Linked DNA regions of Canis lupus familiaris. The protein of the gene in region 1 binds, or shares a complex with, the protein of each later gene. Links are inferred from orthologs where the notes say so. Each region holds a gene or a part of one and is shown on either strand. Other genes may lie near its edges.

Evidence for each region.
Region 2: the proteins of SPAG9 (region 1) and ARF6 are in contact, whole or in part, in a crystal structure (PDB 2W83), measured with the Homo sapiens proteins. The link is inferred for Canis lupus familiaris from reciprocal best matches to the Homo sapiens genes SPAG9 and ARF6. Residues at the interface, in NP_001124000.1 of Homo sapiens: Lys431, Asn432, Ile435, Val438, Asp439, Thr442, Cys443, Asp446, Val447, Gln449; in NP_001654.1 of Homo sapiens: Glu13, Arg15, Lys34, Phe47, Val49, Glu50, Thr51, Thr53, Lys58, Asn60, Trp62, His76, Tyr77, Thr79.

The regions. Positions count from the first base shown.
Region 1 is NC_049230.1:26,912,773-26,917,226, reverse strand, and holds the start of SPAG9 (C-Jun-amino-terminal kinase-interacting protein 4), read left to right. Parts: upstream 1-1,352; 5' UTR 1,353-1,361; coding exon 1,362-1,664; intron 1,665-4,454. UniProt on the Homo sapiens protein: The JNK-interacting protein (JIP) group of scaffold proteins selectively mediates JNK signaling by aggregating specific components of the MAPK cascade to form a functional JNK signaling module.
Region 2 is NC_049229.1:26,667,831-26,672,386, forward strand, and holds the start of ARF6 (ADP-ribosylation factor 6), read left to right. Parts: upstream 1-1,605; 5' UTR 1,606-1,767; exon of another isoform or gene 1,768-1,867; 5' UTR 1,868-2,353; coding exon 2,354-2,881; 3' UTR 2,882-4,556. Other genes in the region: uncharacterized protein LOC119876490, read right to left, coding at 958-1,569. UniProt on the Homo sapiens protein: GTP-binding protein involved in protein trafficking that regulates endocytic recycling and cytoskeleton remodeling. GTP-bound form plays an important role in the transport of multiple palmitoylated proteins form the Golgi to the plasma membrane.

The DNA.
Region 1 (4,454 bases):
GTAGAAAGAACTCGAACTTGTAAACAGGTCAAGGGTATTTGATCCTGGGAATGGCCTATTGCCCCCACTAGACTCCCATTTATCCAAGTCCTGCCTTTTCTTCCCTCTTCTTAGGAGAAACCGGCCTCAACACGCCTCGGGTCACCTGCGGGGTTTCTGGGAGCGTCTCTCGCCCCATCTCTAGAGGTTAAAGGAGAAGCCCGGAAAGCCATCCTTGACTCAGGCCGCCTGAGGCTTGGGCGTTGTGTCATTCCCCACACGTGACGCTCTCCCGGGCGGGCGGCGGAGGCCTCGCGGATCTTGGGACTTACTCACCCCAGAGACTCCACCCCTTCCCTCCTGGACTCCTCGGCCCCTCACTTCCCCGCGCCGCCCTCCTCCAGACTAGAGGGGCGTCGGGTGTCTGGAGCCCGGAAATGCCACCGTCCCAGGTGGCCCGGGGCAGAGGGGCTCAGTGTCTGGGGTGGGGACGTGCCAGATGCGGCGTCATGTTACCCTTGTCCGGAATGCTTCGCACTTCCTCTGACTTACGGGGCCACCCTTACTCCCGCCGTCCCCGCTCAGTGCCCTGGAGACCCAGCCGCATCACTCAGGGACTTCCCGTCTTGGTTACGGTCGCTGTAACCCTCCCCCTGTGTGTGTCCCACTCTTCTCCGAGCCCGCCCGAGCTTCCTAATCTGGATGGTCTGAGCCCCGGACCGGCCTCCTCCTCGTTCTGGCTGCGTGACCTTGAGTGAACCACAACTTTCCTGGGCCTACTTTCCCCTTGTCCGTGCGACGGCGACGAGACCTCCACGACACCACGCCTGTCGTGAGGAACAAATGAGAAAGCCCTTTGTGAGCTGCGAAAGGCAACAGAAATGTTAGCTTTGTGGGTCCCGGGCGGCCGGTCCCTCTTCCAGGACCCCTCCCTTTCCTCGGGGACCCGCCCTGCGAGTCCGCCGGGCGCTGACAGTTCTCGCCACCCGCCTCCAGCCGCCCTTCCCATTGGCGAACGCGCCCGCCGCGCGGCGCCCAGTGCTGACGCCACGGCGCCCCCTCCGCCGGCGCACGGTGACGCACGGCCCCGCCCCCCGGCCGCGCCTGGCCTCCCGCGGGGCCCCGCCCACCGGGCCGACGCGGCGCGGGTCCCGCCCCGCGGGTGACGTGTGGCGCGCGCGGCCCGGCCGCCCCGGCAGTTGGTGCAGCAGCCGTTGGGCTGAGTGCGCTCACCCCACCCCTCCCCTCCTCCGGCCCGGACCCCCCACCCCGCCGGGCGCAGCCCCAGCTCCGGCCCCAGCCGGGCCCGTCCCGTGCGGGCCCGTGCCGCCCCCTCAGCCGGCGACGCCCCGGGCCGCCCGCCCGCCCGCCCGCCCGCCACCATGGAGCTGGAGGACGGTGTGGTGTACCAGGAGGAGCCCGGCGGCTCCGGGGCCGTGATGTCGGAGCGGGTGTCCGGCCTGGCCGGCTCCATCTACCGCGAGTTCGAGCGGCTCATCGGGCGCTACGACGAGGAGGTGGTCAAGGAGCTGATGCCGCTGGTGGTGGCCGTGCTGGAGAACCTGGACTCGGTGTTCGCGCAGGACCAGGAGCACCAGGTGGAGCTGGAGCTGCTGCGGGACGACAACGAGCAGCTCATCACCCAGTACGAGCGGGAGAAGGCGCTGCGCAAGCACGCCGAGGAGGTGAGGGCCGGCCGCCGGGCAGCGCGGGGGCCGGGGGTCGCGGCCCGGCCGAGGAGGGGGCGCGCCGGGCCTCCCGGGGGGCGGGCCTGTGGCCGGAGGTCGCCGGGACCCCCCGGCCGGCGTCGGGAGCCGCGGCAGGCTAGTGGGTGTCCGGGACTAGGGAGGGAGACGAGGAGGCAAGGCCCGGGGCGGGAGCCACAGCTTGGCCTGAGGGCACCTGAGATCGGCTGGGGGCGGAGACTTCGGGGTGGCCTGTAGCCGCCTGTAGTTCAGGGAAGTTTCCGACCACCGTGGGATAGTCAGGCGGCGGTTCAAACTTTTACCATGGTGAGTGTGTGTGTGTGTGTGTGTGTGTGTGTTGGGGGGGGCATTTAAACACTTCTGTCCTGGGTATGTAACTTCCGCTGGTTCCAGTACCTTTCTAGGGGATTGCTGCTTTGGGAAGTTAGACATCTCCCTCTTTCGGTCAGTTTCTTCCTGACGTCTTAACCCTGGAGAGAAAGAGGTTTTGTTTTATGTGTTATGGGCCTTGGCTGACACTTTGTCAGCACTGAGATGTTGTAGAGCAACAGTCTTGTCAGTAGAGCGTACAGTTTTGTTTTATTGACATCTCACACCAAAGCGTTCCCCCGTGTCAGGTGGTCACCTTGGACAGTTCCCCTGACGAACCCTCTGTTTATTTATGAAGAGGGCTGGGGGGCGGGGCGGGTTGAGGAGGTGTAGGTGACTGACTGGTGGCAGCCTTTTTTTAGGACTGCAGTTTACAGGTGTCTTTAACCCTCGCACCTCGGCAGTGACCTCGGAACCCTCGCCTCGGGTCCGTGAGCCTTTTGGAGCTCTAGAGTGCAAGTGATAGGCCTTGGACTTCTTGAGACAGTCCAGGATTTAAGCTTTCAGGGTGTGTTGGCATTTATGTCTACGGAATTTACCTAATTCAGGCGAAGTGTTCATCTTTGTTTTCTGAGCATCTAATCTAATACACCGGGCTAAATACATGGTGATTGAAGGAAACTAAATACTGAATTATTGAACCAGCAACATGTTCTCTTTGAAAAATGCTTGGGGCAAAAAGGCATTAGGATATGAGATTTATTTAGCAGCTCATTTCCTAACCCTGAATACTATCCCCACTTAGACTTCTGTTTTGTCACATATACCTTTGTACCAGGTCACATAGTTCTCTTTTTCTTAAGCTTGACTATAGTGATGATTTCTAGTTCTGATTTTGTGATCCATTTGTCTCAAAGGAATGCCATTGCATTTGCCAAACAAAATTGACTTTGTGTCAAGAGTATTTCCAAGTATATAGAGAGGGAGGGATTGAAAAAAAATCTGAAGATGGGATTGCAATGTCCAGTAGCTTATTAGCACTGTTTATAGAACAGAGGTCGTGTACTACTTCTGAGGTGGCGTGCTGTATCTTCATCCTCATACAGGCTATTATCTGACCAATGTGTGGATGTACTAGGAAGAGACATGTATACACAGACGAGGAGCAGGCCCAGCATGACCTATCACCTTGGATAAAAGAAATGCTCCCTCCAACTTTAAACTCCTGTAGGGACATGTGAACATGGCAAAAGGCCAGGGTCACACATGCCAAGAAAAATATCTGCTTACAGGTTGCAGAATCAGGAAATAAAACTAACTGCTACGTACTGGATTGTATATTAATTTCTTAAGTAAATAAGTGACTTTTTTTTTGGTTATTTATACTTTTTCAAATACGTCTGTAAATTCTGTGTTATGAGACCTTTGGGCAAAGAGCCATGACTTGAGAATAGAGAAAATTGATGAAATGATAGATGAGCCAATTCCCAGACCCCAAACATACAACCACCTTGTTATCACTTTTTGTGTAAGATGATAAGTCAAGTTTTACCCAGTTTCTGGAAATTCAGTCTTTCTTAAGCCAATATGCAGAAGTGAATTCTGTGTTTAATTTTCTGAGCGCTTCATTTGTGGCCTTTAATATGGAGCCTAAGAGTCTGCTATTGTAGCAAAAGTGCCTCAGAGGAAGGGAGGAAGGTTGGTTCGAATTCCTGCAAGCAAGACATTATAGCAACTCACACCCCCTAAAATATTCTCACCGTTTTATATACCCTCCTAGATTTCCACAAAGGTGCTCAGAATTAACTTACACTTTCTGGTGATGGACAATTTCCAGGCTTTCAAGTACTTTTGCTGTAAATCCCTCCCTCCCTCCCTCCCTCCCTCCCTCCCTCCCCTCCCTCCCTCCCTCCCTCCCTCCCTCCCTTCCTTCCTTCCTTCCTTCCTTCCTTCCTTCCTTCCTTCCTTCCTTCCTTCCTTCCTTCTTCTCACACAGTTCCATGTATTCATGAGAGACACACAGAGAGGCAGAGACAGTCAGAGGGAGAAGCAGGATCTCTGTGGGGAGCCTGATGCGGGAGTGATCCCAGGATCCCTGGGATTATGACCTGAGCCAAACTCAACCACTGAGCCACCCAGATGCCCCAAGGAATTGGAAATTTCATCTTTATTCTAATGATATTGCTTAATTTGAATTCTTTGTCTTTTTCTTTGCTTTTATTTAAGTTTGCTTGGTGTGGAGTTAGCCTATTTTTGTGAATCTTTAAAAACAACCTAAAGGAAGGCTGCTTTTAGATAGATTATGATCAGTTTCAGGGCAAATGGGTTGGCTGGGTGGTTCAGTGGGTTAAACCTCTGCCTTCACCTCAGGTTATAATCTCAGGATCCTAGGATCTACCCCCACATTGGGCTCCCTGCTCAGCTGGGAGTCTGCTTCTCCCCTCTTACTCCCTCTGTGCT
Region 2 (4,556 bases), on another chromosome or scaffold:
GTACAGTGTTTGCCATTACAAACAACAAATGGTGACTATTTTTTTTATGAGTGATATTATCCTTCGTCTGATTTTACAGATAAAGAAAATGAAGATTAGGAAGGTTGAGGCCTAAGGATTCACAGCCATAAAACGGACAGGCAACACTTTGAACCCTAATCTTCTCACTCCAAAATCCTTCCTTCAGTTTTATGACAGTGGAAAGTAAGATGGATCAAGGCAGATGGAAAGTAAACTTGGATCAGTCAGAATATTAACAACTCCAGTAAGTTTATTTCAGCTGAAGCTTATAAGGTTATCACCTGACCCATCTACCATTATCAAATATTCTTATATTATGAAACAAGTATGTTATCATATGCTTCTATAGCATCTTCCTTAAAAAATAACAAACCCTATTTCCTGTTTTTCCTCCCCTTGGTTCCTTTATTTTAGGCTTCGCCTTACTTTAAGTCTAACTTGATCTCTAACTATTTGCTACAAAAAAGTTTCCGAAAGTCTTCCACAAACATTTTGTTATTTACTCTGAAACGGAGTACACAGAGCAAGGTCGGCACTACACTCGGTTTACACATGAGATAACAAACTTAGCAAGGTTAAATGCCTTAGATCCAGGTCACAAAAGTAGTCAGGCTTTCTGACTCTAAACCCTAGTGCTAAGATTATTATTGTCTGGGATTTTTAAAAAAATACTTTATTTATTTGTTCGTTCGAGAGAGAGAGAAAGAGAGAGAGAGAGAGAGAGAGAGGCAGAGACCCAGGCAGAGGGAGAAGCAGGCTCCACGCAGGGAGCGCAATGCGGGACTCGATCCCGGGTCTCCAGGGTCACGCCCTGGGCTGAAGGCAGGCGCTAAAGCGCTGGGCCGCCCAGGGATCCCCTCGTCTAGGATTCTTAAAGAAAAGCTAGGTGGTTAAGTTACTGCTCAACACACTAACTTAAGTATGAAAAGTTATCACCTTAAAAAGTTGAAAACGCAGCAAGGGACTGGAACTCTGGTTAACACTGTCATTTTTAAGTAACAGGGTCTGGTCCCGAAGAGATGTGTAAGACAGGGCTCGAACACCGAAAAGCGGGGTTTCCTGGCAAACCCAAGCCTGGTAGAAGCGCCGCACTGCTTGGCCGACTCCACACCAAACGCGGGCCTCCCACGTGTCTTTCAGGAAATGCACAGAACACGCGGGATGAGGGAGGCCAAGGACGGGCTGGGAGACGTACAAACAGCATATAGGGCTTTCCCGGGTGACTGAGGACGCGCGGAGGCTGGGGCGGGCCCAAGGGAACTCGCTGAGCACCTGGCGGGCACCGACGTCCGGAAGCAGCCTGGGGGAGGCTTTCACCGCGGGAGAGGGCTGGCCGCGGGCCCCGCCCTCGGGAGCTCCCCAGTGGATTTGCCTGCTCTGGTTCGAGAGGGCTGGGGGAGGCGAGAGCGCGCCACAGGGACGCAGAAAGTCCGCGTACAGCGCCAGGCGGGCACGGGTCAGAGTCCGAGTTTCGCGGGTCTGGGGCCTGACCGCAGCCGCGAGGCCTCCAGGCCGCCGTAGCCCCGCCCCCTCGCGCGTGGCGCCCATGACGCTGGGCGCGCGGGCCGCGCTCCTTACAGAGCTCGCTCTCACCGAACGGTCGGCCTTGCTGCGCCTGCGTGATCGGGAGGGGAAGTGAGGCGGTTTCTTCGGCGCCTTTTCCGGCGGCGGCGGCGGCGGCAGCGGCAGAGCTGGGAGGAGGCGGTGGAGGCCAGAGGGAGCCCGCGCTCAGGGCGGCGGCTTGAGGTAACCTCGCGAACTGAGCTGGAAGGACGAGTCACCTGGGCCTCCGCTCCCTTCTGGCCTGCCGGCAGTAACTCCCTTCTTCCTCTCTGTGTCTCTGCAGGCGGCGCACCGGATCCCGGCGAGGATCAATGACCTGACGAGGCGCCGGAGCCGCGCTGACTCTCGGGTGGCCTGGGTCGGTGGTGAGCCCGGTGCTCGTGGACCGGCGGGTGGGCCGGAGGGCTTCGACCTCCCGCGGCCGAGTGAAGAGAAGGCGGAGGAGCGGGAACCGCGGCGGCGCTAGCGCGGCGCTTGCGGGGGGAAGGGCAGTTCCGGGCCGGGCCGCGCCTCAGCAGGGCGGCGGCTCTCCCGGCGCAGACTCAGGGCCCCGGCGGCGGCGGCGGCTGGAGGAATCAAGTTGTGCGGTCGGTGATGCCCGAGTGAGTGGCGAGCCTGGGCCTCTGCCCCGAGGAGGCAACTCCCACGCAGGCCGCACGGGCGCCCTCGCGGCCGGGAGGCTTCGTTTCGGTTTCGCGGCGGCTGCGGCGTAGTTGGCTGAGGGGACCCGGGACACCTGAATGCCCCCGGCCCCGGCTCCTCCGACGCGATGGGGAAGGTGCTATCCAAGATCTTCGGGAACAAGGAAATGCGGATCCTCATGTTGGGCCTGGACGCGGCCGGCAAGACAACAATCCTGTACAAGTTGAAGCTGGGCCAGTCGGTGACCACCATTCCCACAGTGGGTTTCAACGTGGAGACCGTGACTTACAAAAACGTCAAGTTCAACGTATGGGATGTGGGCGGCCAGGACAAGATCCGGCCGCTCTGGCGGCATTACTACACCGGGACCCAGGGTCTGATCTTCGTAGTGGACTGCGCCGACCGCGACCGCATCGACGAGGCCCGCCAGGAGCTGCACCGCATTATCAATGACCGGGAGATGAGGGACGCCATAATCCTCATCTTCGCCAACAAACAGGACCTGCCTGATGCCATGAAACCCCACGAGATCCAGGAGAAACTGGGCCTGACCCGGATTCGGGACAGGAACTGGTATGTGCAGCCCTCCTGTGCCACCTCAGGGGATGGACTCTATGAGGGGCTCACATGGTTAACCTCTAACTACAAATCCTAATGAGCATTCTCCACCTATCCCCCGGAAGGAGAGAAATCAGAAACCCATTCATAGGATTATCGCCACCATCACCTCTTTCAATTGCCACTTTCTCTTCTTTTGAATTTGAACTCTGGAGTTACTGTTCTACGGTTGGGGAGGGGGGGGGGGTTTAGGGGTTTCCTTTTTTGTTTCTCTTTCTCCCCCCCCCCCCCCTTTTTTTTTGCTTTGCATTAGGATGCTCCGATCTGACATTTGACATGACCACAAAGTGCTAGATGCTCTTACTGACTTCCAGCAAATGGGATGGGGGAAATATAGCAGTTTTTGGTAAAGTCCTTTATAATAATGGTTTGATTTTTTTATTTCGAGAGAATCTTTTTTGCAATGTATGCTTTTTTCCTTTTTGCCCAGTTTCCTTATCACTTGCTGTAGATGGCTTATTTTGCATTCATGCAGACTATGTTGCAAGTCTGTTTCATCTAGTAAACTGAAAATTATTGCTTAATCAAACTGCCGTTTGTCTTTTATATTTAAGGCCTTTACTCCTCCCTTATGAGTTTTACCTTTAACTTAGTAATTTCAAATGTGACCTTTTATATCTAAGACCAGTATAGTAAACTTAGCCTACAGTGGCAAATAATGAGTAATATCATTGTAATATGTTCCAGTTGCACATCAGTATGTTAAACAGGTAATGTAAGAAGTTCTTTGAAATGTCAGCTATTAAGTTCTGAAACATACATCATGCATGAGTAGGGCTAAAACGCAAGTTCCTTATTACATAGCTAACTTACACTGCATAAAAAGATGAAAGTGTAACCCGTCAACAGATTTTTTTTCACTGCAAAAGTTAGCAACTTTGCTGTGTTTCCCTCTTTTTTAACTTTAAAAGTAGACTCTTTCCAGAAAATGGAGCAATAATGGTGTAGGCCACACACAGATGAGATATCTGTAGATATTTTCAGTGACATTGGGGCAAAACTGGAATATATACTTTTACCACATTTCAAATGTCTAAGACCAATACTTTAAAAGTTACTAGAATGTTTACTTTGTTCATTAATAAAAGCGTTTAACAATTCAAATTATACACATTTTCTACCTAGTTGAAAGAATACACATTCCTGTTTTCACATTAGAGCAACTGATTAAGCTGAAGATAGAAGTTTTTTTATAATTGAGTGATCCACATCTCCATTAATTAGAACACTGGAAAAGATGTTTTATAAAAAAGGTATTTAATTCTGTTTGATTGTAGGATTAACTCATACAAATAGATCTCCTGTTGGTTCATTAATACACTATCTCCTTTAAGGAAGGAAATGTGATGAATGAATGATGTGTAGACTTGAGAAATGACAATTAAAGGGGAAGTAGGATGAAGAAAGAACCTACAGATGACAATGAATGTAAACTTATTTTTCTTCAAGGGTAAGCAGTGTGCTCACTGGTGATATCCAGATCCTAGCAAGATTACTTGCTTAGCTTGTTAGGACCCGTAACTAGCTTATCGAGACCACTATGATGATACCTTGAACCAAATGTTAATGCTTGATACAGAATTGTGAGCAGCATCTGGTTCTCATATAGCCTTAAGGATTAATTTTAGAGATCCTCAAGGAATTAAACGTAGGGAATTTAAGAAATGTAGACTGCAAAGGCAGTATACAGGAAAAGGTGGAGTGGGTTTTGT